4 linked regions of the Lytechinus pictus genome follow. The protein of the gene in region 1 purifies or fractionates together with the protein of each later gene. This does not show direct contact. Links are inferred from orthologs where the notes say so. Each region holds a gene or a part of one and is shown on either strand. Other genes may lie near its edges.

The links.
Region 2: the proteins of coatomer subunit epsilon-like (region 1) and phosphatidylinositol-3-phosphatase SAC1-B-like purify together in Homo sapiens (affinity purification with mass spectrometry; 4 studies listed by BioGRID and IntAct, with this or other methods). This does not show direct contact. The link is inferred for Lytechinus pictus from reciprocal best matches to the Homo sapiens genes COPE and SACM1L.
Region 3: the proteins of coatomer subunit epsilon-like (region 1) and coatomer subunit delta-like purify together in Homo sapiens (affinity purification with mass spectrometry; 4 studies listed by BioGRID and IntAct, with this or other methods). This does not show direct contact. The link is inferred for Lytechinus pictus from reciprocal best matches to the Homo sapiens genes COPE and ARCN1.
Region 4: the proteins of coatomer subunit epsilon-like (region 1) and coatomer subunit beta'-like purify together in Homo sapiens (affinity purification with mass spectrometry; 4 studies listed by BioGRID and IntAct, with this or other methods). This does not show direct contact. The link is inferred for Lytechinus pictus from reciprocal best matches to the Homo sapiens genes COPE and COPB2.

What each region holds. Positions count from the first base shown.
Region 1 is NC_087249.1:9,540,516-9,548,417, forward strand, and holds the start of coatomer subunit epsilon-like, read left to right. Parts: upstream 1-4,889; 5' UTR 4,890-5,199; coding exon 5,200-5,301; intron 5,302-7,902. UniProt on the Homo sapiens protein: The coatomer is a cytosolic protein complex that binds to dilysine motifs and reversibly associates with Golgi non-clathrin-coated vesicles, which further mediate biosynthetic protein transport from the ER, via the Golgi up to the trans Golgi network.
Region 2 is NC_087246.1:55,294,459-55,302,361, forward strand, and holds the start of phosphatidylinositol-3-phosphatase SAC1-B-like, read left to right. Parts: upstream 1-4,889; 5' UTR 4,890-5,080; intron 5,081-7,903.
Region 3 is NC_087252.1:32,345,652-32,353,206, forward strand, and holds the start of coatomer subunit delta-like, read left to right. Parts: upstream 1-4,552; 5' UTR 4,553-4,662; coding exon 4,663-4,665; intron 4,666-7,555. Other genes in the region: porphobilinogen deaminase-like, read right to left, coding at 604-676, 4,090-4,137. UniProt on the Homo sapiens protein: Component of the coatomer, a cytosolic protein complex that binds to dilysine motifs and reversibly associates with Golgi non-clathrin-coated vesicles, which further mediate biosynthetic protein transport from the ER, via the Golgi up to the trans Golgi network.
Region 4 is NC_087258.1:18,199,513-18,207,480, reverse strand, and holds the start of coatomer subunit beta'-like, read left to right. Parts: upstream 1-4,967; coding exon 4,968-4,979; intron 4,980-5,413; coding exon 5,414-5,500; intron 5,501-5,916; coding exon 5,917-6,043; intron 6,044-6,931; coding exon 6,932-7,080; intron 7,081-7,968. UniProt on the Homo sapiens protein: The coatomer is a cytosolic protein complex that binds to dilysine motifs and reversibly associates with Golgi non-clathrin-coated vesicles, which further mediate biosynthetic protein transport from the ER, via the Golgi up to the trans Golgi network.

The sequences.
Region 1 (7,902 bases):
AGGCGCCATTTTGTAAAATTAAATGATTGATCATATCATCGCAACTAATCATCAAAAATCATCCATATTTGCATCATATCAAGTTCAGGTGACAGGTCATCAGGACATATCATCAGAGGTCATGCAAAGGTCACGACGCGCACGTACGCGCGCGTCAAAATTTTAAATTTCCCCAAATCGACCGTGGTCAAGTTTGGGTACGTTTCTGGTCATTTTGAGCATGTCAAGAATTTGCGCGCGCACAGGTATGCGTGCGCGTTCTTGCACCTACCATCGTTATGCATCTTCGAGTCATCATTTCTTTCATGTCTTTCCATTGTTCATTATCTTCTGATTAATTTGATACCTCATTCAGCCTCTTACGACCAATAATACGGGAATGCGCGTCCATTCAAATTTGCATTACGCGCGCGTAAATGGGCTAAAATATGCCTATATAAAATTCACTGTAGCTCTTCAGGGAGTCCGTTGACCCCAAATTTTTTCTCACTCTTTTATATATTCAATATTTCATTTGGAGATTTTGTAATTACGTCAATTTTAAGTTATTAGTGAAAATTACATATTTCCGCAACAAACGTCAATGACTTGACCGTATCTTCGTTTTTACTGGTCAGTTTTCTTCCAAATTTTGATATCGTATAGTGAAGACAATTCTCTACAAATAACGTGTGAATAATTTTGACTTTTGACCACAGCATCAATGTGTTATGATGTGTTTAAATTTTTGCAAATTTTTTCTGGACGTAATTTTTGAGAAATTCTTTAGAGAAATGTTTTATTAACCAATTGTACAGTCTTCCTGAAAATTTCAAGCCCACTTGCCTTGCATTTTTTTATGTAGGACAATTTTTGTAATTTTGCCGGAACTTTTTAAGGGGCAATTTTAACATTGTAAAACATCATTTATGTATTTTTTAGTAAACGCTGCAATATTTAAACGCTATTTGGTTGAAAATTTTCATTCCGGACATTTTGCGGAAATTCCTGGATTTTTTTCTGTTTGTTCATTTTTACTTAATATAACATATAACAAATTTTCAGGTACCTTCTGTGAAATGAAAAAATTGTGCAATTTAGTTAATTACACATGTTCCCGAAATTTTGCGGGAAAATTGCCAGTATTTGAATCTTTTACCTGACTTTTTTTCAGTAAAAATCATCAAGAAAGAATTTTCAAGTAAATGTCAAAGTCATACACAATTAATAAATGGATATTGAAAATTTTTGACGGAAAATATTATTTGAAATGTTTAAAAATTTTCAGAAATTTGGCAAACATTTACAAAAAAATCTGGTTCTTTTATCAAATACATCACTCATGAGTTTTGAGGTGAATGCTGTGAAATTATAGCATTATGAAACTTCTCATTAAAATCTATTGAAATGTAGCAGAAAATTTGAACAAAAATATTTAAGATATTTTAGCTTTTAAAAAGTATCACCTATGAATTTTCAAGTATTCTGTGAAATTAATACCCACTGACATTGTGAAATGTCAGTGGGTGAAATTAATAAAAAAAATGCTCAAAGTACAAAGAATTTTTAACAAGAATTTGCATAAAAAACATCAAACTGTCGATTAAAAATTAGCTGCTGTGAAAATTAAGGCGCCTTTCATTGCGCAATTTTGGAAAGCCAATTTCGGTAAAATCGTCTGAGATTTTTGGAGAGTTTTTAAGCCGGCATTTTACGTGCTCCTAACTTTATTTCGTATTTAACATATTGCATTATCACCACCATCATTATAATCATCACGATTGTCATCACTACATTTATAATCACATTTAGCAATGGTCAAAATTTATTCCTTTGATGTCTATGATCAAGATTATCAATCATATCTGAATGATTCATTCCCGGGATTCATTTTATACAACATTAGCCGACAATGAATGAAAAATCATGACAGACCACCTAATTCGTCCGCATGACGAATTAAAATCTAGTGATTATTATTATTGTAGCGCACATAACACACATCGGAATTCAGAAACGTCTTATTTCATTGATACAACTCCTACTGTCCTTTACTCATGCAAAAATCCTACTGGTTGGCATCTCTTAAAGGCATATTTTCCAAAGGAAATGATGTTCTAGTTAAGACTTTTAAAGCAAATAAAGATTTATAATGCCTCTGTCCACCATAGGTGTTGATGGAGGCACCATGGTTTTGGGTTTACATCTGTTCATCCCATCTTTTTTCTTATGAAAATTCACGAATTATTTGATAAACTTCGTCCAACTATGCAGATACATTCAGGAGTGACAGTGACCTGCTCAGTTTCGAGGTATCAATGTCAAAGGTCAAAGAGTTGGCAAGGTCAGAGATCACAGATACATCTACATATCTTGTGATATAGACAGTTGTAGGGATCAACTTCAAATTGGCTTTCATTCGGCTATGATGATCTGATTATATTTTAGTATACCGAGGTCAGAGTCACAGGTCACAGGCCAAAGAGCAGTGGCCAAAGGACCATCAACTTCAAACTTTGCTCTTGTATGGATATTGATGCGATGATCAGCGTCCCGTTTCACAAAGACCTGTTACAATAACAAATGCACTATATCTCTAATGAATGTACAATCAACCAATCAGATTGAAAGATCATAGTAGTCTATAACTTTTATTGCAAATTTGTTATTATAACAAGTTTTATGAACGGGCTTCTGATTAGCATTGTGGATCACAAGGTCAAAGGTCAAAATATCTTGTTCTGGTGATAAGTAAAGAAATATTTAAGGGTACAATTTCAAACCTTGCTCCATGGATGGCTTATGTACCTGTATTGTTAGACTCTTTACCTGTGTTTCATTTTCTAGAAGAAGGGTTATAATTCAATGGAAACATTGTTTTAAAGGAGAATGAAACCCTTGGAGCAGGTTAGCTTATATGAAACAAGGTGCCTGTCTTACAAAGAGTTGTGATTGATCCGATCAATCGCAACTATGGAAAGCCAGCGAAGTCAACATATAAAATACATGTTTGTTAAAAAAAATTCTAGATACAAATGTATATCTATAAATTCATTGATTTCTTGACAATTTTGTGTGTGCTCCTTTGTTTACAAAGGATATCTTGCAAATTTCCTGTAGAACAAATGATGACACTGATGGATTTCCATAGAGTTACAATTGATTGGATCAAACATAACTCTTTGTAAGACGGGGCATAGATCAAAGAATAAGATCATCAAAAGTTTTGAGTAAGATTGGTCAAGCGATAAGAAAGTTATATAAGCATTTGAATGTAAAGATCACTAATGTTATTGAGATCCTCTAATTGGCAATGTGAAAAAGGTGATAGATCTGTGATGTCACACATGTAAAACTCTCCCCCTTGGACACTAAAAATATACCCCAAAACATCTCTTTTTTGCTCATTCTATTGATATGACAAACAATTCATCCATGATACATTGTTGTGAACCATTATTACATGCCCTCATAAAAAAGAACACCTTATCTTGCAAAGAATTGATAAAAGAGAAAATTTAAGTGAAATATGTATTAAAGTAATGGGGAAGTTGTACGTGTGTGACGTCACAGATCTTGGTCGCAATGCCCATGGGAAGATCTACATAGTGTTACTGATCTGAATATTCAGATGCCCATATTTTTAACTAATTATTCATTCAATCTTCCTCACACATTTATTGATCTATTTGAAGTCAACTGGTCAGTCTCAAGGGTTTCGTCCTCTTTTAAAGTAAAATCTTGATATAAACATGACAGAAATGTATCATTCTGAATTTGTAAATAAATCTTTCTACACTTTTTTTCTAAGACATTCGTGTATCTCTTCCTGAATTCTTGTGGATTATGGACATTTATCAATGAGATATTCCTGAGTAAAGACTCATCTATTTTATGTCACAATGACTACACGATCAGCTGGGTATTGGCAAGAGAGAGTGAAAAAGACATAATGCCTTATAGAGTGGGATAGAGATAAGTCCTGTCTTTATAATAGACTGTGACCTGGCGGAGAGCGGGTATAGGAAAGGGGGTGGAAGTTTCCAATGAGATCATAAAACCATGGGTGGTAGCCTCTGTGCGATGTCTTAACAGATGCTTGCTTAAATTCAACCCTGATAAGATTTTCATGATAACCGATGCACCCTCCTCTCCCCCAAAAAAAATAAAAGAGAGGAGAAGAAAAGGGAGAAAGGAAAGAGAATAAGGGAAGGGGGGGGGGAGGAAAAAGAGAAGGATAATGAAAGAAGGGGAGATGGGAAAGAATAGGAGGTGAAAGAGAAACGGAAGGGAAAGGGAGAGGGAAAAGAAAAGGAAGGGGAATGAAGGGAAGAGGGTAAAGAAAAGAGATGGAAAGGAATTAAAGGAGAGGGAAAATTTAAAAAAGAAGGGAGAGATGAGAGAAAAGATCGAAGGAAAGAGAGACCAAAAAATAGAGAAGGAGAAAGGGAGAGGAAAGAAAGGAAGGGTAAAAGAATGGGGGAGAGAGGAGGAAAAGAGCGGGAAGGAAGAGGAAAGCTAGGAGAAAGAAAAAATGAAGGGAGAGGGGAAAGAAAAAAAAGGTGATTAAGAGGAGAGGAAGAGAAAAGGAAGAAGTGAAAAAGAGAAGGAAAAATAGGGAAGGGAGAGGAAGAAGAGAGAGAAAAGGAAGTGAAGAGCGAGGGAGAGAAAAGGAGAAAAGAAAGGGATCGGGGTGGCATTTTGGACAGACTGCAAGTAGCGCTATAATGAATTTGCCATAAATAAATACTGCAGTCGGCAGATGCATTTCAAATATTCTGAAATTTCAGTCCTGTCATTTTACCAGCGCCAGGCAAAAATGGCAGAGGAAAACGGTTAGAAAAGCAATTAAAAAACATAATTCAAGAAAAAGTGCGGTCTTAAACCCGAACCCGCCAGCCAACCCCAACACCAATCCCAACACCAATCCCAACCCATTTTCTTTTTGATACCCGGCCCCAGGCATTAACTGACGTTCTTTCTCTTTTTTGTGCGTGTGTATTTTCTTTGTCTTCTGATTGTATTGATGATGGTTTTCAAAGTATTGATATTCAATATCATCATTGTATTCTTGGAAATGAATCGGAAATGAAATAAATTAATGAAAAAGAATTTGCGTGCAGTAATTCTTTTGTATTAGATCCTTGACAAAGACTACTTGCAAAGTGACGTGTCTGTGAAGCCTGAGGTTCTGTGAATTGAGCTAAATTTATCTCCAAAATGGCACCAAAGAATGATGATGTGGACGAATTATTTGAAGTGAGGAACTCATTTTACATTGGAAGCTTTCAACAGTGTATCAACGAAGCCCAAAAGTTAAAGGTAAAGTCATTAGATGCGATGTGCATCAAATTAATTGGAAAGATTGCAAGAATAATTTTGTTGTACGGTCCCATGCAATACATTTTATGTTGCATCTGGATGCTGCCAGATGATGGTTTGTTTTACAAACAAACAGTTCCAAAAAATTGCTTTCTGTGCATCATAAAATGAAATATACTCTAGCGGCTACGATGGCAAGCTATAGAATTTATCGCAAATAGCGTCTGTCGCGTGAAAGCCATTTCACGGGAATAAAAAGGAAAGGGGGCAAATGCAAAAACAGTTTCGGGCACCACTCTAGGCGACACCCCAATACTTACCCGTGCTAATAAACTGGGACTCCACTCACGCGCGTTTGGGCCTCCCTAGCTTAGAACTAAGCACTAATATCACCTTAAAACCTAAATCTACAAGGTATGTATAATCTATTTATAAATTTAATAATGTTTAATCGGTACTCACCGGTTCTTTTGTTGCATTTTCAGACCATTTCTCACAATTCTTCGTAAATATTTGCGGCAAATTTTGTCGCCATAGACAGCTTAGCGTCCATCTTTATTGATAAATGGAGCGCCCTTTACGATAGTTGTTAATGCCGCGGAGAAATCGTTAGGCATTTTGGCCTGTGTTCAAGGCGTTCTTTCTGTTTTATTTTTATATTGAAGATTGTGCATTTGTTGAATAGCGCCGTCTACGTCAGGTATGAGATCGAGTGTATAAATAAACTCTTCCAAAATAATTATGATTCCGACCTGGCGCTGTTTAACTTCAATCTCTTTCACCTAAATTAGCGATGAATGCTAGCATTATAAAATATATATTATTAACGTCTGACGAAAAGAATAACCAACCGATCAGCTGACGAGAACGCGAATCACGTGATCTTCATATCAGCTTCGATCGCGAGTCAGAAGAGAGGAGCAGTTGCCCAGAAAATCAGGAAAAAGCCGTGAAAATGTAAGTTCCCCTTCATTTCTTTCAATTTTTTTTATTGCTAACAATGTATTCAATTAGTGAGATCGAAATGTAATGATTAGACAGTACGATAGCTTGTAGTTTTGATAAAATACAAAAATAATCATCTTCACAAAGATTTCTGACACAAAATACTACTGATGTCGCCTATGAGGTCCATACATGTAATGTTGGACCTCATTGGTACTAGGAGTGTCGGGCACTCCTAGTACCAATGAGGTCCAACATTACATGTATGGACCTCATAGGCGACATCAGTAGTATTTTGTGTCAGAAATCTTTGTGAAGATGATTATTTTTGTATTTTATCAAAACTACAAGCTATCGTACTGTCTAATCATTACATTTCGATCTCACTAATTGAATACATTGTTAGCAATAAAAAAAATTGAAAGAAATGAAGGGGAACTTACATTTTCACGGCTTTTTCCTGATTTTCTGGGCAACTGCTCTTCTCTTCTGACTCGCGATCGAAGCTGATATGAAGATCACGTGATTCGCGTTCTCGTCAGCTGATCGGTTGGTTATTCTTTTCGTCAGACGTTAATAATATATATTTTATAATGCTAGCATTCATCGCTAATTTAGGTGAAAGAGATTGAAGTTAAACAGCGCCAGGTCGGAATCATAATTATTTTGGAAGAGTGTATTTATACACTCGATCTCATACCTGACGTAGACGGCGCTATTCAACAAATGCACAATCTTCAATATAAAAATAAAACAGAAAGAACGCCTTGAACACAGGCCAAAATGCCTAACGATTTCTCCGCGGCATTAACAACTATCGTAAAGGGCGCTCCATTTATCAATAAAGATGGACGCTAAGCTGTCTATGGCGACAAAATTTGCCGCAAATATTTACGAAGAATTGTGAGAAATGGTCTGAAAATGCAACAAAAGAACCGGTGAGTACCGATTAAACATTATTAAATTTATAAATAGATTATACATACCTTGTAGATTTAGTTTTTAAGGTGATATTAGTGCTTAGTTCTAAGCTAGGGAGGCCCAAACGCGCGTGAGTGGAGTCCCAGTTTATTAGCACGGGTAAGTATTGGGGTGTCGCCTAGAGTGGTTTCGGGAAGCCATTTTAAGTTAAAATAAATGTTAAAAATAAAATAGGCCTAGGCCTATATCATATCAGTAGAGGCGCACGGCCAATATGGGAAACTGTCTCCCAAGAGAGAGATTAGCTCCAATATCAGAGACTTTTGTAAATAATTTGGGTATCCAATTTCAGAGACAGTCTGAGTCTCCACTCCAGTTTGGGAGACCAATTTCCTTTGTTTACATTTGCTGCAAAATTACCTTGGCGGCAAATAAAAATGTGATAGGCAGATTCCTCATGTAAAATTACCCCTTTTCACCGTCTACTTTTGTTTTGATAAGGATTTTTGTTGTCATCCACACACAAAACAAATGGGCTTCTGACTAGCCAGGCGGCTTCTAGAGAGTAAAAATCATTTACTAACGTAAGGTTACTCTCATACGAAGCCAGGACTTCTACCTCATAGACCCACACAAAGGAAGCCAAAACCTGAAACTTTCACCCCCGAGATTTCTACTTTCCTTCTAAAAGATCTAGCTCTAAATCATGTACATGGGATAAAACTTCATTTCCGA
Region 2 (7,903 bases), on another chromosome or scaffold:
GTTTATGCTGTTAGATATATATATTTTTTAAATATAGGATTCTTGATACAAGTGGAGCGCCTCTTGCAGTCTCGCCTGCATGCCTCGATTCAATATAGCAGCAGTGCTGACTTTGAAAACGACTACAAAATAATCATTCACAAAAAACACCACTCATATAATAGTATAATACTACATTAATTGACCCTAAATGACATTTGACCTTGATCAAGTGACCTAAGATTTGTGCAAGATGAGCAATGATACTTAATTACCCCTATGTCCACATTTCATTAACTATATCCATAAACTTTTAAGGTTATGGCAATTCAACAATTACCCCCTACATGGCCAAAGTTCATTGACTTTAAATTACCTTTGACCTTGATCATGTGACCTGAAACTCGCACGGAATGTTTAGTGATATTTTATTAATCTTATGTTCAGGTTTTATGGACTAGCTCCATATATACTTTCTAAGTTATGATGACAGGCAGGATGTTTAGCAATATTTGATCACCCTTAATATGTCCAAGTTTAACGAATAGGTGTTTTTTTTTATTTTTTTTTAAATAAGATGACATAGGGAGACAGTGAGTATTTGAAGATAGTGAATATTCATAAACAATGTAATTTGTAATACAATCACTTTAGTTTTACTTTATTAGTCTTTTTTTCAATAGTCTAATAAAGTCCCATCCGAATCCCTTAAACTCTATGTTGGTATCATCCATTGTAAGCACTTTGAAAGAGTACGATTCTGGAACAATCTTTGATATCGATAACGATCAATTCATTTTTACGTTGTATTTTTTGTTAAAGGCAATTTTTAGTTTCATCCCTGGGCGATGGGATCTGAAACTTTACTACCAAATAGTATTTAATTGTGTTTTAATATTGAAATCAAAGTCTTTAGGCATATTTCATGAAATTAGTCATATTATGCAGATTATTTGCAGATAGTGAATTGATGACATGCTCACAATGTTTCCGACGTCTTTGTTAAAAAAAAATAATTATTTATCATAACTGCTTGCATGAGCATTATTCTTTCAGATCGGAGATAAGAATGTTACTTATATAAGCATTATAGACCTATCTGGCTGTGAACCATGATTATCTATGAAGAAACAAAGAAGTTTTTTCTTTTTCTTATGTAATCCCCCCCCCCCTCTCCCTACTTTTCTTTCTTTCTTTTTATCTCTCTCCCCCTCTATCTCAGTATGTCTCTCCATCCCTCAATCTTTCTCTTTCTCTCTTGTCTTTCTCTTTCTCTGAACTCTCAACACATCATGGCGTCGCATCACCTGTTGCCACTCCGCTTCCTGCTGTTGCCATTGCCATGGTAACGATGACTTGCTCCATTCCTCGTTTCCAAGCCCTTGTATGTCGCAGTTTAAAAAAAAAGGAGCAGATCTATCGCTTCGTTCTAACCAAAAGCGACAGAAAATACCGGCCTGTTTTGAGATGATCGCTCAATGACCCACGAATACAATAGCCGCACCCCGTCCATTGTGTTCTTCCCGATAAAACCGGGTATTTAAAAATGTCTCCTCCACACCTGACTAGCCACCGATCAAAGAAATGAGCAGCGCTGTCTTTCAAAGATGCTGAAGGGATGTACAATAGTATTCTCCTCGGATATAGAGACGAGGAGGAGGGGTGGTGGAAAGGGCTAGTTATCTTCGGGGGCTATTATAATGGAGAAGTTAATTAAAGAACGCTGGTGTGTATAGAGCATGAGTTCTCTTAACACACAGCTGAAGACGACAGACTTTGATGTGCGTTGTGGTTGAAGACATGACATGAGAAAAGACATTAAATCAGCAAGATTAATGGAAGGGTTATCTAAACTTCTATGCCAATGACAAAACTATCCACCACCAGCATTAGAATCAGTTTCAGTAATAATCAAAATTGGACAAAACACCGTGATTATCATAGATGATGAGTCCGGTAGACAAATATCAGGAGCTGAGAAATTATAGTCTGTATCCCACTCCTGACACCAAAAATGTAGTCAACGATCAAGTTTAATTCAGCTGAAGAAATTACTGTGTGGTTTTCATTGCCTTCAGTTATTTTTAAAGGAATGTGAAAGGGACATGCCTATAATGCCATAATACCGGAAACACGTTGATATTGATCTAAAGGGGTCCGTGCACGTTCAGTATAACCAACAAAAATGAACAAAAAAAATCATGAAATTAATATAAATAAAGAAAAGTTGCTTAAATCATGGGGGGGGGGGGGGGTAAACATGAAAAGCAAACGAGGGGGAAAAAACTATAAGACCTAGTGGCAGATCCAGGAATCCGAAATACCCGTGTCCCATCCCTGTGGGGAAGTGTGCATATTTGAAAAACGACTCCGAAAATGAGCATAAAAATGGAGCCCTTTCTTTGGTTTTTAAAGGAGTATGACGGGAGTGAAACACACGCATGTATATATTTTATTTAGCTTGCCCAAAAAAGAAAATTATATACGGGAACATGCTCCTTATAAAGTTGATAACTTTCCCACGGTTATTTTTTTTTTTTTTGGGGGGGGGGCTTGTCGCAGAATTAAAAAAAAGACGGTTCCACGTATACCATTGATCAGTCCATCATCTGTCGCTGATGAGACCAGCATAATTATAACATAGCTCAAAACCTACGCATGAGTGCCCACACATTATTTTTTTAATATGTGACAAGCTACCCCAAAACCAACAAAAGGTCGCCAGAGAAGGTTCTCTGTATTAGCCAGAATAGTAATTTGGTCTTTATAAAAACAAAAATTGAAAGAAAAAAACACAGCTTATCTCAAAGAGTAATTCTTCTTCTGTATAATGCCAAAATGTCAAGTTGTATAGAGTTGAATATAAAACAAGGTACAAGAGTTTCTGTGGCACAAGTTTTTTGGGGAATGCTTGGAAATTTCACTCAGATTGCAGTGGGCCCTGAACTTCTAAGTTATTTTTGAAGCTCTCGCCTTGTTTCTTCTCCATACGATCAAGTATAATAGTGTGGGTTGTTGTTGACCAATTTTGACAAGTTAGTTATAAAGCTTATTGCTTATTTTCATCTCATAAAAAATAAAAACTAATTTTGGGCGACTTTGGTTTAATAAACACGATAAATACATTTCAATTTTTCTTCGTTATAAAACAATTTGGTTTGATTTTGTTGTCTATAAACATGTGGAATTGCGTTTTGTAACCCATATGACGTAATATGATATTTTATCAATATTTTCCTTATGTCATATCAATAAAATAAAAACAATTACAAAAGTAAATAAACGGTGTGTGATGTTCTTTCAATAATAATTGATGCATATCTGACCGTGTTGTCTTCTTTAATGTAACTGCTTTGAGAAAATAAGGTAAACTTGAAAATGGTATATCTACAGCCGCTTTTTAAGAAATTTTAGTCAACTTGTTGTGTTCAAGGTGGTGGTTGACTTGAACTTCAGCATAATATGACAACGATATGATTTGTTTTATAATTTCCTAGGTTCACTGTTTTATATAACATTCTATTTCAAAATTCATAATGCCCCTTGTACATCCATTTGTATTTACCGAATGACACTTAGAGGGTGCATACTTTTCTGTATCTTCTCCTCCCGCGGATTTTATATAATTTACAGCTTTTCCCGGTTTTCATAAATAAATAAATCGCACAATTCACTTGTCATTCTCACTCTGATTCCATTTTAAAAAATGAAGGAAAAAATGAAATGAAATTTTTCTTTATATAACTTTTTAAAAATCGCTGAAAGTATATACATTTGGAGGTTTTTCATAAAAAAAAATTTAGATGAATTTTTTAAATTATTAAATAAAATAAATCATCATTTTGGTACCGAGAAATTCAGTGACAAGCAACAACAAAAAGTTCACTATAAAATGAAGGTAATTTGGGGTTGCTAGGTCCTTTACTTTTTTTTTTACCTGGCAGCCCCAGCCCCCCCCCCCCCCCCTTCCGTTGGTCCGCCACTGGGAATCGTCGAACCGCATTTCAGGACAGGGACTCACTCGACCGTAAACTGCTATTGTTGTATTTTGGTATTTATATGTTTCACTATAGGTAATTAACAACAAAATATATTTAAAATTCGATACCATTATTAATCATAACGTCTCATCCTAGATCTATTTTAGCTCAATACTGCTGATTCTCCATAAAACAATATTGTCTACGCGATCAAATTCACATTTTCTCTTCATTTTGAATCAAGAAAATAAAGAAAGGATTTGATAATTTTGGCGGGATGTTGCAATCCATGATCCCCATCGATCGAAATTAACATTCTCATGCGGCAGTCACATAATCAAGACTAATACCAAACCAACCGATACCCGTACATTGAATAACGTAATAGGCTCGTAGCTCTGATCGTTCTGGAGTCGGTTTCGTTGTTGTGACTGTGCGGGATTATCTTCGAGATGACCTCAAACAGGCTAAAACAAAAGGTGAGAGAGTTTAGAAACCATCGGAGAGGGCATCGAGTAAACGACCAGATAATTGGTAGATGGGTCTGTTAGGATGCGATAGCAATCACCTCTCCTCCACATGTTATAACCCAAAACAAAGGAAGTTGAGAAAGAGGAGGATCACCGAGGTAAAAGAGCAACCGGAAGTCACGCACCTACCTCTATTGTTTATGGATATCACAAACTTCCTGCATCATTTCTATGCATCACAGAATGATTGTACGTACGAGTTCAGAATGCGAGATTTTATAGAAGGAAATTAATCTCTCCTGTATTGACTCAATATCATTCAAAGAGAGTTCTTCCATGGATCCTACTAGAAGTTCCATGCTGTACTATTCTGACCCCCCCCCCCCTTATGGCCATGCATGATGTAACACATTACGACATACTGTAACAAGTAAAGTCATCATTACAACAAACGTTTTCTGCATAAGATCGCATACATCCCATGGGATGTGTTAAAAAATTGTCTCTCTGAAATTTTGTCAAGACCAAGTCTGGGGATCGGGCTTTCCAGAAAGCTGCACCATAGCAGCACAGTGGAATTCTCTCCCGCCAATTTTACGAAATATTACCCAACTTGAGCAAAAAACCCACCTCCTTCGCTTCAGAGATAAAGTAAGTTATATGTTCAAAGTATGTTTGATATTCTTTGATGTTTATAATTACTGGCGGTTCCAGGAAGGGGGGCACAGCCGGCCCATGCCCCCCCCCCTTGAGAGACACAATTTAAAATTTGTAATGTAAAAATGCCGTTAAAACAGAAGTGTGGCCCCCTTTTGAAAGCGAAGACCTTTTTTTTTTGCTTGTCAATTTTTTCGTGGACGAAATCCCCTTATTTTTTTAGTTAAAACCCCCCTTTTAGGGGGGGGGGCTTGTCAAAATTTTCCTCCCTTTTCGAAAACTCCTGGATCCGATTGTTATATTCAGCTTTTCCTGAGAGACCCTTAGGTGCTATACGCGTCCATCCCAGAAGAACTGTTATTATCATAAGATGTGGAATTATTTTTGAGAAAAAAAAATCCTAAACGTGAAAACTTGTAAACGTTTGCCATAATTTCCATTGTAGAATAAAAGGTTTAATCATTCAATTTCTTGCAGTTAAATCGGTACAATCGATCGGTATGTATATAGCTGTAACCAAAGCTACGCCTACGACCGTTTACCAGTTTGATTATACCCCTGAGAATGAGCATGTTTTATAATAATCTCAACTATTTTACGATATTTGGATACTATACATTTTTTATTGGTCGATGAAACTATTAAACGACGTGAAATGTTTAGCTCTTACATCTCTTCCCTATGATAACATCCGTTGTATTGACCTCATCATGTTTTGTCATCTCCGTTTCTATACCACGTTCTTTATCCACTTTTACGTAAATATGCACGGTACTTATGCATGATCATTGCTCGAATTATGATGAACATTTTTTAACAACATGTAAACAGGCATGTAAACTCCCTCAGAAATAATATGTCCATTTATACAGCGCAGTTACTATGTGCATATACTCAACTGCGCTTTGATACATGGTATCATACCCCGGCTGTAGCTGAGCCGCCATATTAATAAAGCATTCAATGAAAAATCTTACCGGATACTCATTCACCTCACCTGGGTCGAGTGCAGCACAATGTGGATAAAGTTCTTGACAAAGGAAATTACGCCATGGCTGGTATTCGAACCCACGACCCTCTGTTTCGAAGTCCGGAGACTAATCCACTGCATGGGCCTAAATGCTCCACAATATAAATACACAATATTGATCATGCCTCAGAGGTATAGTGGCGCTACAAGGGGGCAAAGTAATTAATAAAACACTCATGTCTACTAATTATTCTGAGGAAAGGATTGACTGCCCTCGATCTTTCAAATAAAAAAAAAATCTGTGAAGTGGGGGGGGGGGGGGGTGAGAAAACATGGAAACGTGTGTCTTGGTCATTATTTTGAGAAAACAAATCAAACTTACATACAACTCCCGTGGCATGCTTACAGAATGATGAAAAATGAATTGTTTTAATCATAACTTGGACAAAAACTTAATTTTATTTTTGTTATCCTCCATGGGAAGTTTTTTTTTTTTTTTTTTCGTAGTGAAAATTCTGCAAATTATCAATGGCAAAGAAAACCAAAATACGGTACCACAAGAATAGCTTCAATATTTCTATTTATTCGACCTTATCCACCCTTGGCCTATTAAATCCTTATGTGGGCTAAAAATGGCTGGCCGAAATGGATCGTAATGCTCTAATAATCAACTGTTATAGACCGGTCTGGGACGGCCTCGTGTTGTTAATTAATACAATAATGGTGATGACCGTCTCCAAAATCATCATCACCACCACCACCACCACCACCTCCACCACCTCCACCACCTCCACCACCACCACCACCACCATCATCATCATCATCACCATAAAAATCATAATTGTATTACTACGATGGCAATTATACAGTAATGTTTGTCCTTGCACGCGGTCATTGAATTGAATTGTTTTTCATAATTGCTTGGCGGATGCAAATAACAAGACCGGTGGATTTTTAACCGAGTGGTTTGGGATCTCAAAAAGGAGGAAGGTTTTTTGATAGAGCTGAGAAGATACTGGTCCTTGAAAATGTGTCCTCCCTACACCACACCGTTATTAATATATTTGCCTACTTTTAGCCTATCACGGACGAGTCCCTGTGCAGAGCGAAGAGAGAGGGCGCCTGTATAGTATTTCATATACAGGGACACTAATTTCATTACGACCGTATCATCACGATTGCTGGACCTACACCCCGTTTTATTTATTTATTTTTTTAATTTTTACAATTTTGATCTGCTAAGTTTCGAACTTTATTTTACATCCGAATCAATAATTTCCCCCATTTATTTTGAATCATTTTTAATCGCTGGTACCACAATCTTTAGTTTGCAATTTACTTCTAACTCGGAACACACTACGGAACAAGTTCCGGGAACAAGTTCCGGGAACAAGTTCAATCACAGTTTCCTCTTCGCTTTTAATTCGCTTTTATGAATGAAATAAAATAGAGAAAACTCCGAATGAAAAAGAAAAACAAAGTTTCTTATGCTTATTGTTAAAATTCATATTCTGTATAGCTATTTTCCTAATACAATAGGCCTACTTTTCTACATTACATTTTTGGAAAACTTTCATTTATCTGAGCATGCAGACGATAACAATAATCTGCATTAATTTTATTGTTTCAGGCTGGAAAATTCCCAAATCTGCTGCCGAATCGTATGTATTTATAAAGTTTACAAACTGCATGTCTTATTAACTTTATTTTGTGGGACTTCTCCTTCATCATGTGTGTTAAAAACATATGAGTGGCCGTTTCAAGAAAATCAACATTTTGACGTACGTAGGCCTATACCAATTATAATTGTAATACAGTGACAGATACCAAGTGGAAGTTGAACTATG
Region 3 (7,555 bases), on another chromosome or scaffold:
CCTCATATTATATGTTTAGAATGGCAGCTTTGGCAATATTTCTTTTTGGGTTGTAGTAGCTACATTGTAGCTCTTCAACATTTGAAGAAAAAAAATCCAGAGCTTCTCATGAAAATAGCGTTAACTTAAATCCAAATTCTGTGACAATGCCAGGTTCATCATCATCAGTTAGTTCTTATTTATTCATAAAAATCTAATTGAAATCATCACTATAATGAGAGGAAGAGAAAAAAAAACTGATCAAAATCATTTCAAACAATTATATGGATTATTCACCATTGATAGTAATGTTAAATGTAAATAACAATTATTTAGTGACTTCATTTTAACAAAAAATAAGTATTTATTCGTCATTGAAAGAAATAATAATGGGTTGCAATTCACAAGTTGGGTTTTTGTTTTTTCTAATGCAAAAAGGGTGGCGAATGAACAATTTTCAATTGTAGAACAATTGTAGCAACATCACAGCCCCATGGCCAAATTTGTTGCATACAGTCTCATTTTTCAACTCAATATCAATAATAATATGGTCATGAAAAACTTGGATTGTCTTGGCATTAACCCCTCAAAATCTGAGGAAAAAACACAATTTTTTTTATTTACCAATCTTGAATTCCACATCTGGATGAACTTTCTGCAACAGTTCCACAACATGATTGGTTTGTATCATGGCCAACTGAAAAAAAAGTAATAGATAAGAAATGAACCCCTTATCACTCATCAGTTTCTTCTCAGCTTTTTGATTTAGAATAATTTTGCAATGGGAACTTAGGATGCAATTTTGGAACCATGTGATTGAACTCAAATTATTTTTTAATAAAATTAAGTAAAAGTGATTTCAAGAAAAACAATACGTGACTATATAATATATAGTCACGTAATGTTTTTCTTGAAGGGTATGCGGCAATTGCGATGCAAAGAAAAATGGTTGGTTAATATAAAATAATTTTATGATATTCATAATTTCCACAATATTTTGGAATAGCACGTGCGAATTTTTCCAGAATGTATTTCCTCTAACAAGTTAGTTGTCATTTTTGAATTAAAGCACAGTGAAATAAAGATGTCCGGCAATGTCAATGATAATTGATATATAATAAAAAAAAATATATCATCACAAAACTACGCTGTGTCTAGATCCAGGTCCAGGCCAGGGCCAGGCTTACCAGGCCCAGGGGTGCCGGTGTACCGGCGGATCCTGCGCCTGGCAGATACTGTTCTAGGCACCAAATCCGCCGGCGGATATGGTTCTCCTCCGGCGGATTCAGTACCAAAAAAGGCCACTCCCTTCAGAAGATTCGGAAGATATCGTTCTTGCGCTATCGCGATATCCTTCATTCATCACGTTCACACGTCATGCATGCACGCGCACCGCGCGTGAATAACGTTGCGAAATGAAGTTCGAAGAAGAGGTGGGTTAGCCTTAGTCTAATTGAGAGCCAGCTACCTTTCGGATTCTAGTTACATTAGGCCTTGAAGAGGAAAGCCTCAACATTTTGCCTTTATTCTGATGATTAGGGACAGAGTCAGACTCAGACTGACGTTAATCAGAGATTAAGTTTGCACAAAGAAGAATCTAACTTTGAGCTATTTTTTGGCATTATATTCAGTAAATAAAATCATATTCTACACTTTTCCTTTGCTTTTCTTTCCTCCTTTCTTTTTGTTCTTGTTTGTAGAACTTTTTGGGACCATAGCCCAACCCTTCCATACGCAGTGCTGTGCGGTTGGGGTCCGGAATTTCTTGATATCAAAGCCATTTAAACCTCGCAGATTGCCGCTATTTTAATCAAATCGCGGGCATGTACAGGATATAGCTTTTACACAACACATTTATTCAACCCAGTTGCGTAATGAACCAAATATTTTGAGGGGCAAAACATAGTAATGTGGGAAAAATCTGTAAAAAGTCGCAAAGCGATCGAGCTGGAAAAAAAAGCCTTTTGAAATTAAATTCTAATTATATAATTGATTTTTCCATTAGATTCAGCAACTAACAAATTTCATTGTTTCCATTCATTTCATTATACCTTGTCTCCTTTAATTTATTTTATTTCTCTTGGGTGTGGAACCAAGACCCCCCCCCCCCCCCCCCGGCGCATGTGCAGTAATTGAACGTGATTGTGAACGGGAAGCGTTATAGAGCAATTTGAGGTTCAGTATAAATGAAGAGCCCCTACTGTGTGGGGTCTGGGGCAAAGCCCCGGTAGCTTATTTACATAAAATTTGGCTAGCTTATAGCACAATGTTATATGCAGTCCATCTTTCTTCCCGCTCTTTAATTTCAATCATCGGAAGCCCGGTCGTGTTATTTTTTTTTTCTTGTCCCTTTTCTTTGTTTTCCAAAAATTAGCTTTTGACTAATTGCATTTTACCTTCGTTTCGCGCTATTGTTTGCCATTTTGTCATCTTTTAATTTATTTCCCATCGTGCTATTGCATTACATATGCCTGTTTTGGAATGATTTGTTCTTTCTCAAATGTTCATTTTCCCGATTTCCTTCCTTTTCCATTAAAAAGGGTTTTTTTCTTCGTTTTCTTTTCACTTTTTCCTTTCCTTTTCCCCTCATTCCCCTTTCCCTTTCTTTCTCCCTCCTTTTTTTTCCTTTCCCGTTTTTCTTTTATTCCTGGTTAAATCCGACAGGGGGCAACTCCCCCCCCCCCCCCGCCTGTTACGTCATGAATATCCATTAGGTGGACTGATGATGTCACATCTCCACTTGTTCTTTTGTAATTTATTATATGAAATTAGGTTTATTCAAATTTTTTCCTCCAAGAACTAGAAAATTTGGATTGACAACTGATTTAGTGCATTAGATATTTATTGCTGCAACTTATTTCATTATAAGGGAGACATATTATTCACACAAGTATGAAATAAATGAAAAAAATATGGTTTTGTGTGATAACATAAGAAAACGGAAAATGGGGATGTGACATCATCAGCCCAACTAATGAATATTCATGATGACTGTTTTCACAAAATATTGCTTAACTTTAAACTTCAATAACTTTATTATTTGTTATCCGATCTTGATGAAATTTTCTGCATTTTGCTCAGTGAATTCTACTCTATGTATTAAGATATAAATATTTTCAGCCCGGACCATCCCTTTAATTCAGATTCCTTAACAAAAATATTGAAAAAAAAGGAATAAAAAAAAAACAAATTAAAAATAGGCCTACAATAAACTACATAAGATATTAATCATGTTTTGAAATTCTTTTTTTTTAAATGTTTTCACAAAAAATCAGCACTCTACAAGCAATAATATGAGTTAACAGCAATATATATTCATAAACTAATTTGCCTCATTTATTTTGAAATTATGAAGTTTTAACTCGTTGAAAATCTGTAGTTTTATAAAAACTATAGGCCTATATGGGGGTACAAATTTTCGCCAGTCTGGCAAACTTACACTAATCATGGTGTGAAAAAGCACAGTTAAAGATTTCGATGCATACTGCGGACTTAAAGTAGTATAAATTTTCACGTAGGGCCTACAAAACAAAATGATGAAAATTTCATCAAAATCTGATAATAATAAATAGCAAAGTTTTGGCGCATGTGCCAGGTCTATGTATACATGATATATCGAGTCATTGTTTCTCCTATTCCCTCACCCCCATCGAGCCCTTCGTCAAAAGCTTTATGGATCCGGCCCTGAATAAAAATTCACTAAAAGTCTAAAGGCGGACGAAAATCCCCTCCCCCCATTGGTAACGACATTGCCAGAGCCGCGCATGCGCGCGCTGCCGAGGTTGGACGTCTGTCCAAATAAATATTACACGTATCGTCAATAGAACCAAATCTGCAAACTTCAAGCCGCGTCAAACCCGGCGGATATGGTTCCGATTAAAAACGATATCGGCCATTAAGAACGATATCTGCCGGCGGATACGGTATCCGCCGGTGGAACCGAATCCGCCGCTACACCGGCCAGGAGTGGGCGTGTCACCTCATCGGCGCGGCATCGCTGAGCTGCGCTGTCAATTGTCAAGACAAGAGGAAGAAATTCGATAAACACAATACACAACCAAACACGTATGGGACCGAACAAAAATCCTTCGGTTCCCCAGAGGCATTTACCTCGCTCTTTCTCGAGCCTATGCGAATAACTTCCACTTGACTAGCCATACTTTCGAAAAGACGACGATGCTTATTATCACTATGAGAAACTCCCAATCTCCGTGAACCGAAGTCTTCTAGTAAAATTAAAACTACGTTTTCGGACCGTCTGCGTCACTGCTCTGTACTGCTAGCTGCTCGCGAAAGACTTTAACTACACGTGAAATGCAAATGACCTTCAACCCGGAAGTTGAGCCCATTATATGTGTACAATTTTAGAGCAAAAATATAGTGCTGTGTATTGGTTGAAATTATATTTTGTACAATTGAAACACATGAAAACCTTCATTCAAATAAATTTTACAAGATTTAGGGATAATTCAATCAGTGAAAGTGATTACTGTTCTCTTGAATGAGAAAGAAAAGTCCACAATTAAAAAATATTCTTCCGCCACGGGCGTTATCCGTCTCAAACTCCACATCACACGGACGTGGCCCGTCTTAATCTTACGACTGTGTAGCGAAAATCCTGAGAAAATCCCACAGAAGACAGTGAAATTGCCGTTTTATTCGAAGAGCATACTGAATAAGAAGATGGTATGATATTGTTAGCTATAATTTCATTAGTAGTAAATAAATGGTGTTTATCGTTTATTGAAATGTCTCTTACAAGCTAAATAATCAAGCCTTGATAACTTTTTTAAATTAAAAATCTTGCTGACAAAAAAAGTGACAGACACAGTGTGAGTGCAGTGCAGTGAATAAGTGATCAGTGGTGTTGTTGGGGGAAATAATAAGATGGCAAATATAGCGATCTTCAACGCTTATATATAAGCGTCGAAATTTGTAGCCATCTCCTTGTATTAGTCTATAATATACGACGTGTCAAATTGTAGCGAACTAGTTCGCCATTTCCAGATCTCCTCTATATATATATATACGAGGGGGAATTGTAGCGAACTAGTTCGCTATTTTCCAGATCTCCTCTATATACAAACGACGGGAAATTGTAGCGAACTAGTTCGCTATTTTTCGGATCTCCTCGATATATACACAAGGGGAATTGTAGCGAACTAGTTCGCTATTTTCCAGATCTCCTCTATATATACACCAGGGATTTGTAGCGAACTAGTTCGCTATTTTTCGGATCTCCTCGATATGTACACGAGGGGGAATTGTAGCGAACTAGTTCGCTATTTTTTTATTTTTCCAGATCTCCTCTATATACATACGACGGGATTTGTAGCGAACTATATACGAGGGGGCATTGTAGCGAACTAGTTCGCTATTTTTTTTGATCTCCTCTATATATACACCAGGGGGGGAATTGTAGCAAACTAGTTCGCTATTTTTCGGATCTCCTCTACATGTATACGACAGGAAATTGTTGCAAACTAGTTCGCCATTTCTCATCTCCTCTCTAAAATATAAACATGGCAAACTGTAGCGAACTAGTTGGCAATTTTTCTGATCTCTTCATATACACGAGGGGGAAATTGTAGCGAACTAGTTGTCATTTTTTTCCAAAGCTTACATTATTGTGAAGGCTTCAAAGTGAAAATCTGCAGGTTTTGGCTGTATATATTGATGCCATATTGTCAAATTGTAGCAGACTAGTTCGCTATTTTCCAGATCTCCTCTATATATATATACGAGGGGGAATTGTAGCGAACCAGTTCGCTATTTTCCAGATCTCCTCTATATCCATACGACGGGATTTGTAGCTAACTAGTTCGCTACTTTTCGGATCTCCTCTATAAAATTATATACACGAGGGGGAATTGTAGCGAACTAGTTCGCTACAATTCCGTCTCTTGTATATATAAAGATTAGAAAAATAGCGAACTAGTTCACTAATTCCTCCTCGTGTATAAAATTTTATAGAGGAGATCCGAAAAATAGCGAACTAGTTCGCTACAATTCCCCCTCGTGTATATATCGAGGAGATCCGAAAAATAGCGAACTAGTTCGCTACAATTTTCTGTCGTATATAGAGGAGATCCGAAAAATAGCGAACTAGTTCGCTACAAAAGAAGAGATCCGAAAAATAGCGAACTAGTTCGCTACAATTTCCCGTCGTATATATATATAGAGGAGATCTGGAAAATAGCGAACTAGTTCGCTACAATTTCCCGTCGTATATATATATATAGAGGAAATCCGAAAAATAGCGAACTAGTTCGCTACAAATCCCGTAGTATGTATCTAGAGGAGATCTGGAAAATAGCGAACTAGTTCGCTACAATTCCCCCTCGTGTATATATATCGAGGAGATCCGAAAAATAGCGAACTAGTTCGCTACAATTTCCCGTCGTTTGTATATAGAGGAGATCTAGAAAATAGCGAACTAGTTCGCTACAATTTCCCGTCGTTTGTATATAGAGGAGATCTGGAAAATAGCGAACTAGTTTGCTACAATTCCCCCTCGTGTATATATCGAGGAGATCCGAAAAATAGCGAACTAGTTCGCTACAATTTTCTGTCGTATATAGAGGAGATCCGAAAAATAGCGAACTAGTTCGCTACAAAAGAAGAGATCCGAAAAATAGCGAACTAGTTCGCTACAATTTCCCGTCGTATATATATATAGAGGAGATCTGGAAAATAGCGAACTAGTTCGCTACAATTTCCCGTCGTATATATATATATAGAGGAAATCCGAAAAATAGCGAACTAGTTCGCTACAAATCCCGTAGTATGTATCTAGAGGAGATCTGGAAAATAGCGAACTAGTTCGCTACAATTCCCCCTCGTGTATATATATCGAGGAGATCCGAAAAATAGCGAACTAGTTCGCTACAATTTCCCGTCGTTTGTATATAGAGGAGATCTAGAAAATAGCGAACTAGTTCGCTACAATTCCCCCTCGTATATATATATATAGAGGAGATCTGGAAAATAGCGAACTAGTTCGCTACAATTCCCCCTCGTATATATATATATAGAGGAGATCTGGAAATAGCGAACTAGTTCGCTACAATTTGACACGTCGTATATTATAGACTAATACAAGGAGATGGCTACAAATTTCGACGCTTATATATAAGCGTTGAAGATCGCTATATTTGCCATCTATAAAATACCGTGTTGTTGGGGCACCTATTGTTTTGCCTTGACGGTGTTTACGTGTTAATGTGTTAGGAGCCTTAGTTATAGGAGGTAAGTTTTTACATGAGCACAACAGATTAACACCAAATGATGCCCACCAAACATGTTGAAGTTGATAAGTCCCGAAATGTCACTCGGTTATGTCGGTGTTGAGGCCACTTGAGTTGTCAATATTTTTTCTAACGTTGTCGTTGTTTTAACTCGGTCATGATCGACTCATGTCATTGTCCGTCAAAATAGGTTTTGGACATGTTGGTAGTACTAGTAGGATAGGATTCAGATATGATCTAGTTTGTGCTTCCAAGTTCCAGGCTAAACACCAGATCACTTGAACAGCAGAGCCAGAGGCGCTGTGCTGGTCAGAAAGACAGAAAATTAG
Region 4 (7,968 bases), on another chromosome or scaffold:
TCCCGCACATAATTTTAGTATGGTCTACCACTCTGATGAGAAGTTGAACTAAATAGAAACCCAAAAATGCTTAAAATTCTGTGCTTTCTGGTCGCATTTATTTTTTTCAAAAGGTGGTTAAAACATATTCATGGATGTTTTTTTTTCATGAACACATTAAAAAGTGGTCTTCGATGCCTTTTTCACGTGATTATGAAATACGATAATTCAAACTGCATTTAAGGCACCTATGATTGCCGTGCTGGGCGGGTCGGGGTGCCATTTTCCGAAAAGTTCACAGGGGCGCCAAAATAGTCGGGCTCAATCATGGATCCTGGATCCTGGACCTCCTTATCTATACCGGCGTGATACTAGGCGCTAGTCCATGGATCGGATCGGTTTACTTCCATTTCGTCGTGATGCCAACTCGTCCAAATGCCAACTCGTCCAAATGCCAACTCGTCTACTATCATTATTTGGTCTACCATCAGTTCGTTCACTATCCACATGCATGCATTCCGTCTAATAACCATCTGATCCAATAGTCATTTAGTCCATATACAATTTGGTTATTGGACGTGTTATTGTGCAAAATGAATGAAAATGAATTGGATACTGGACTAACTGGACCAAATGGTTGTTCGATGAAATGTTGATGGACGGATTGGCATTGCATGGACTAAATGAAAGTAGACCATGTGCATGGTGAATGGATGAGTTGGCAGTTGACGAATTGGCAATTTACCAATGGACCTACTAGTACTAGGCCACTGAATTGAACTTGTCGTGTGCCATAACACCTAAACTGCTTCCTTATATCCGATACCCCCTCCATCCTAAAGGGAAGGAGGAGAGAGAAGAAAGGAAGAAAGAAATAGATTGTTGAAAGGGAATCAAAAGAACGATCAAAAGGGAATTTGAACGCAACATAATATTATACTGTTATTGTTTGAATCGTTTCTCTCTCATTAAATTTATATTTTGAATATATATCGTTTCAGTCATTCTCATTATTTTACTGCATAGCGAATTACAAAACGTCCTATCCTCGTTTCCGCTAACCACACATGACATTATTTATCATTTTATTATTATCATACAATGAAATTCATACTGTTTTTACACGCTGCGTCGGCTGCCACTTGACTACCTTGTAAATATTTTTCTGATGATATTCAGTTGAAATCAGTGGCGTTCAAAATAAGGCTTGGGGCTGTATGGATTCCCAAATTTGTCACGGCCAAGAAAAAAAAGGAAAGAGAGAAGGGAAACTATTATCTGAATATCATGTCAAAATCTATCATAGATTACAAAAAAAAATCAAGATTTGTGCCCTATATGTATATCTGGCCCCTTCATATTTGTTATGTTCATTATTTACGCCACTGGTTAAAATTAAATTCAACTTAAAACATTTTCCCTTTATCATTGCATTATACATTCATGAATAGTGAAAGCATGTTCATAACATCTTTCTGTATTTTTCGCTGTTTATACACTTCCTAACCTTAGGTTGTGTGTATTCCTTATGTTCGCATTCTCAATGTTATTTTCTCTTTATTTCAATATTATTCTCACAAACTTTATTATGGTATGCCTATTCAAGAAAGTATTACTTGTTTGCTTGCCCCATGACAGCTTTGCCTTCACTTTTGCAGATCGGAGTGTCTCTCAGTCAGTATTCAGAGCTATTACTGTATTCTCCTTGACCCCCCCCCCCCTGTGAGTTGTAAAACACCCGGGTAAATCACCCATAAAGGCAAAATATTATATTTTTATCGGCAACATATTTGCATCACATCACCATAAATTAAATACATCAGAATAGGCGTATACCCATTGAACCTCGCCAGAATGGGCTTGCCCAAAAATTTCAAAAACAGATTTTTTTTTCCCCGAAAGTCATCACCGCTTGGAAGTAGGCGACTTTCCCGCCCCAAAATATTCTTATTCCTACAATAGTGCAATCCGTCACGAACACCATGCACGATTGGCCTTTCATAACTGATCTCCAAAATAGTTGAACCATATTCCAACACTTTCTACGATCAATACGATCGCCTTGACTGATCTGATACTTTCTGATACGATTAATTACTCCGCGATTATATGCCTCTTGGAAGCGGGGGAGGGGGGAGGGGGGGGCTGGGGATGCGGCATGTATTATTTTCCATGGGCAGCACCCCCTGGAATTCTGATAGGTGTCAAATTTGAGAAATGTATGGAATGACCAACGATGTTTTTCTTTTGCTTTGTCAATTTTTTTTCTGCAGGTAACCCCACCAAAAAAAAAATCGTGACAGTGTGAACTGAGCACATTTTTTTTCAATCATCAAAAATGATTATTATATTATTTTCCCCATGAGTTGTGAAATTTTGACACGCCGGGGTCTCCTTGGTCCCAATCCCAATATGAAGAATACATTTCCTCGGCTATAAAACAACAGTTATCATTCGTTTTTCCTATATTTATTAGCAGGAAAATGGGAGTCCCAATTCCCGGTTCCACTTTCATTGCTAAATAAGTCTACGTTATGCCAATCAAGAAGTGAGTGATGTCTTTGTCCTGCTCACGTCGCCACGCACCATTCACATTTTTTCAACAGTTGAACTGCTCGTGCACACACTGTATGCGTGTATCCCGGAGGCCTATCTTCCTCTCATTTGTTGCAATAAAGTTCATCTTTCCATCTATTTTTAATTGTTTATTGTTTATTTGATAAGGGGTAGCCCATTCAACAACAGCTCCCATGGGGCGCCCCTATCTATTATTCGTCATTGGTATCCATTTGTCTTTGTCCATCCATTCTTCCTGTTCTTGGGGTTAGGCCTATACATTCATCGGATGATCCATTCATATATATGCCTATTCATCCATCTATTCATTATTTCAGTCATCCATCCATCCATCCACTGATGGATTGATTAGGCCTATAGGCTACCCCCACCCTCCCCATACTGGAGAAATACTCTGCGACCCATTCTCTGGAAATCCTTATTGATACACGTTTCAAAGCAGACGTAAATTACTATCCCCTCGGACGTTGCTTCTCCAAGTTTGCTTAGTCTTCTTTCACGTACTTCGTTGCCCTGTTTCAAACGGCATGACTTGTAAAGTTCTGTTGTAAAACATGCCGGTCGGCCCCCGGGGTCGGCTCCGAAATTCACCCCTCTGCATACCTAGAGCGCAACGGTTCTACCATAGACCATAGCGCCGCGCAATATTGAATATACTCAACTTCTCATTACTCCACATCTAGCTACAAGCTTTCTTGTGTGGCTGCAAGAATAAGAGTTTTCTGAGAAATCTTGCCCCTTACGTCTACCCCCCCCCCTAATTTTTTTGCTTTCGCTCATGACGCCTCTGCTCTGCTTGTAAAGATTGACCAAATAACACTGTATTCTAAATTTGCAATTTGATGCATTATGGTCGCATACACACACTATCACGGTCTACACGATGTAGACTACGCTACATACTTCGCATCAACAGGTTTCTCAGCTCACCTTTTGACCTCGCAAGTTCAGTCTAAACAACGAAGAATAATCCTACTTTCATGTCAATACTGTGTGTCCTCCATGGTCCCATCAACTTTTATCTTCCTTTTATGTTTTACTATTTTGTATCCCGCCCTGAAAATAATCGTTTTTCTCTTCGCCCTTCCCTTTCTTCATACTCGGCCCTAGACAGAATGGGGATGGCCGTCTATATATATATACATATGAAAATTTTTCATCTCGCTCTTTGCGCTCGCTTCAATATTGTTTAGTTAAAATTAGATGACAAAATTCTAGGTCAGAATATCAATCACTTGGGCTTAAAAAGTGATTGATATTCTGAACTAAAATTCTGACATTCTAAGCACTTTTGGTAATCATGAACAGGATTGTCATCATAGATATCTCTGATTGTCATCTACTACCTAACAATATTGATGCGAGCGCAAAGAGCGAGGTGGCCGTCAAATCAAACTCGGCCCTTGCCCTTCTTTGGGATTCTCGTATCTCTTTTAGTCTTGGAGTACTTTCAGATTCATGACATTAGATTCCGAAAGTAAGCCGTATTGGGCAATCCTTTGCTTCGTCATTTACGTTCGATAATCAAAGTGTCTGAATCCTTATTCACGTACGATACAATCATGGAGCTATAGCTCCATATAATATGCTTGTCCAGTGTGTGCTATCGCTAATAGTGGATTATGTCTAAAGTAAACGTGCATGCAGAGCGCAAGCATATCGCTGGCTAGTCCACCTCCTGGACTGTTGGTATTTTGTACGATACGACTACCAAACACAACACACTACATCCCCATAACACGCATACACACACCCCCTGAATAGTCACACGAAACAACATTTTTTTTCGGGGAAAGTGAATCAGTGGGTTAGGTGAATCACTGGGGGTAAGTGAATCAGTGGAGGGCGTGTGTGTGTTGGTTATGTGTGCGCGTGGGGGTACCGGTACGGTCCGATAAGGTTTGCCCTTGGTTTGCCCAATCAATAAAAATCGTCCAGGACGTGGACTAATCGCTAGCCGGCTAGCATCGGCTCATTGAGCTTGCACGCAACATTCGGTGTTTGCTTCTACTCAGCTACTTCTGCACACAGCGCTGCACTTTGTTGATACGGGGATTTCTTGATACGGCGCATGCGCCATGACGTATTTCATCAATATGCATGAGGTTGTAATGAATATGCATGATTCGAACGGTGTTCTAATATCAATTTATTTGTTAACTCGAGAGGGCGGAAACAAAATATATCGGTTAAACGATATATTATAATATATATTTCACCCCTAAATATCATGAAAACAGAAGAGTTATACCAATTTCTTTTGAGTGATAAAGTAGAGCATTGATATAGATATTTAATGAAAATAATATCTTTACAATTGATTCACTGACCTTGTCTGAGATCAACCAATCATACACTATACCTTTAAAACATAATTTATATTAATAATAATGGATGACACAAACTAAAATATGATAATTGCAGTAAGTCAAATATACCAGTTTGTAAACCTCATGTTTGGAAAGCAAATGTCCAATGAGGATGATGATAAAGGAGGAGGGGGATGAGGATGATGATGAAGATGATGATGATATTGATGATGATGAGGAGGATGATGATGATGATGATGAGGAGGAGGATGATGATGATGATGATGATGAAGATGATGGTGATGATATTGATGATGAGGAGGATAATGATGAGGAGGATGATGATGAAGATGATAGTGATGATGATGAGGAGGATGATGATGATAAATATGGTGATGATGATGAAAATGATTATCACACCTTACCGACATGAGTGTAAAAAAAAGCCCACTATTCAATTATTTGACATTTCTAGATGAATACATGTATCACTTTGCTGTATTTGATTCACTCTTGCCAATTACCACTATAATTTCTTCTTGCTACAGACCCTTGTCAAGTCATTTGAGGTCTGTGATCTACCAGTCAGAGCTGCCAGGTTTGTCGCTCGCAAGAACTGGGTCATCACTGGATCAGTAAGTCCTTATTTTTATTTTTATTGATGCTCATCTAAATTATTTTCAACGATAATCACCCTGCGCAAGTATTTAAGTATTTATTAGAAGAGGAACAGTTATCATAATCATTTTTAGGAAAAATGAATAGAATTATTTTAAAGGCAACTTGTATTTGAATAAGATAATCTCCACTTATCCTCATCAATTCTTAGTTGGTTATCCAAACATTGTGAATTGTTAATTTGAAAAGATAACAATTAATGAACATAAAGTTGTATAATATCTTGTTGGCTAAGAGAAAATATGTATTGGTGACAAAATTGTCAGCTCCTGAATTTTAGAAGAATTTGTGTGTGATTTTGGGGGTATTTCATTCATTTGGCCTCTTGAGTTTGTATGGAACATTACATTCCATCTTTGTTTGCTTTGCCCAGGATGACATGCAAGTGAAAGTATTCAACTATAACACCCTTGAGAGAGTTCATATGTTTGAGGCTCACTCAGATTACATCAGGAGTATAGGCATACACCCGATCCAGCCGTACATTCTAACCAGTAGCGGTAAGTCAGTCATTACTATTCTTCAATTTTAATAATAGCAATAACAATAATGATAATAATAGTGGCTACTTATAAATATAGCCACTTACATGTACGTAGCCACTATCAGATTTTGAGCAGATGTCCTAAATTTGCACACTCTAATCAAAGATTCATTGATTATTTGGAGATACCCCAAACTAGGGAAGCTGTGTACATTATTGCATATTATTGTGCTCAGCCAATCAACACCAAGGAAGGTTGCCATATCCAAGAATCTGTCAGACAACCAATGACATTATGTTGCTAAAACAACCTGGTGGTTCAAAAGAAATGAATACTTTCCAAAGATATGCAGATATTCAACACTTATTGTCATGCTCAAGTAAAATGAATTAAGATTTTGGCAGGAAAATCATATTCTGGCTGTTGTTATACAAAATATATATTATAAATGAATAATTACAAAATTATGGCATTAAAAATTGTATGGTACAAAATCACACAACCACAATACATAATGGTACTAAACCCAAACAAATCTGAAGTTCATTGCAAAAACAGTGGCACTGAATCTAAACCAATTAATTAATTATTTAATGCTGTGAGAGGACCGCCCCAAGCAAGAGCTATTCCAACACCCATTGGGCCCTGGGGCTGTTTAATAAAGCTGTTCGTAAGTTAAGAACGACTGGTGATCCTTTCTTACGCGCTATACCATCGCCATTGAATATACTATGTACCATTAGAAAGGATCACCAGTCATTCCTAAAGTCGCTCTTAACTTACGAGCAGCTTTATGAACACCCACCAGGTTTGACACCGAGTACTTCTAATAGTTCCACTTTGAATGCAGTCCTGCCCAATTTTCTTTCTCTAAATGTTATAAAATTGTTCTTCCATTTGCAGATGACATGCTTATCAAGCTGTGGGACTGGGATCGTAAGTGGCAGTGTACTCAAGTTTTTGAGGGACACACCCACTATGTGATGCAGATAGTCTTCAATCCCAAGGATAACAACACATTCGCCAGCGCCTCACTGGACAGAACAGTCAAGGTAAGAGCCATACTCAGCAATTCATATTTTCTTGTCTTTTTGTCTCGCCTGAACAAAGTTCGGCAGAGACCTAGTAGCCACTTTTCCTGTCAGTCTGTCGGTAGATATAAAAAAGCTAGACAGAACGAGGAGAGTAGCCCAACGTATAATTGGATGCAATAATTTAGATTCGATGACCATTCTATATGAGGAAAGGGTAGTGGCTAAAGTAAAAAGAATCATGAATGACCCCACCCATCCACTCCGTGTTAACTATAACTACAATAGGTCGGGTTTCCGCCTTTGCGTACCGAGATCTGCTCGAGCAAGGACGAGACAATCTTTCACCCCAAACCTCTTCAACGCTACTGCACAAAGATACTGATCAATTTGATAATTAGCCACTGAATGAATGTATGCCCGGATTCTTGATTCTTTATACTTTAATCTCTATTCGAAAGTTATAATTACTGTTACAAGACATTGACCATGTAAACCCTATGTTTAAATTAAGTTTATTATTCCTGCTGACTTGTTGATTTATTCATATTTGTCATCTCATTTGTAAACTTCATTTCCTTGTAAGCATTTGTAATGCTCCAGTGAAAGGTAAATTTCCCGTCAGGGGATAATAAAGTTATCAATTCAATTCATTAGTCTGCTACAAAAATATTTTTGTTTGATTTGCCCTCATTTCTTTATTTCGGCATCAATTGTGTTCAGACTTGGTACATATGATCCTTCGATAATACCAGATGTGTATCCATGAGGATGATGCGAGTCAAAGGGCATCTAGGGGTCAAAAGATGTGAGGTCATATCCATCCTTTTTCAAGTTTCTGTTTGACTTGCTCTCATTTCTTTATTTCTGCACCAATTTTTATCACACTTGGTTCAAAGAATCCTTGGG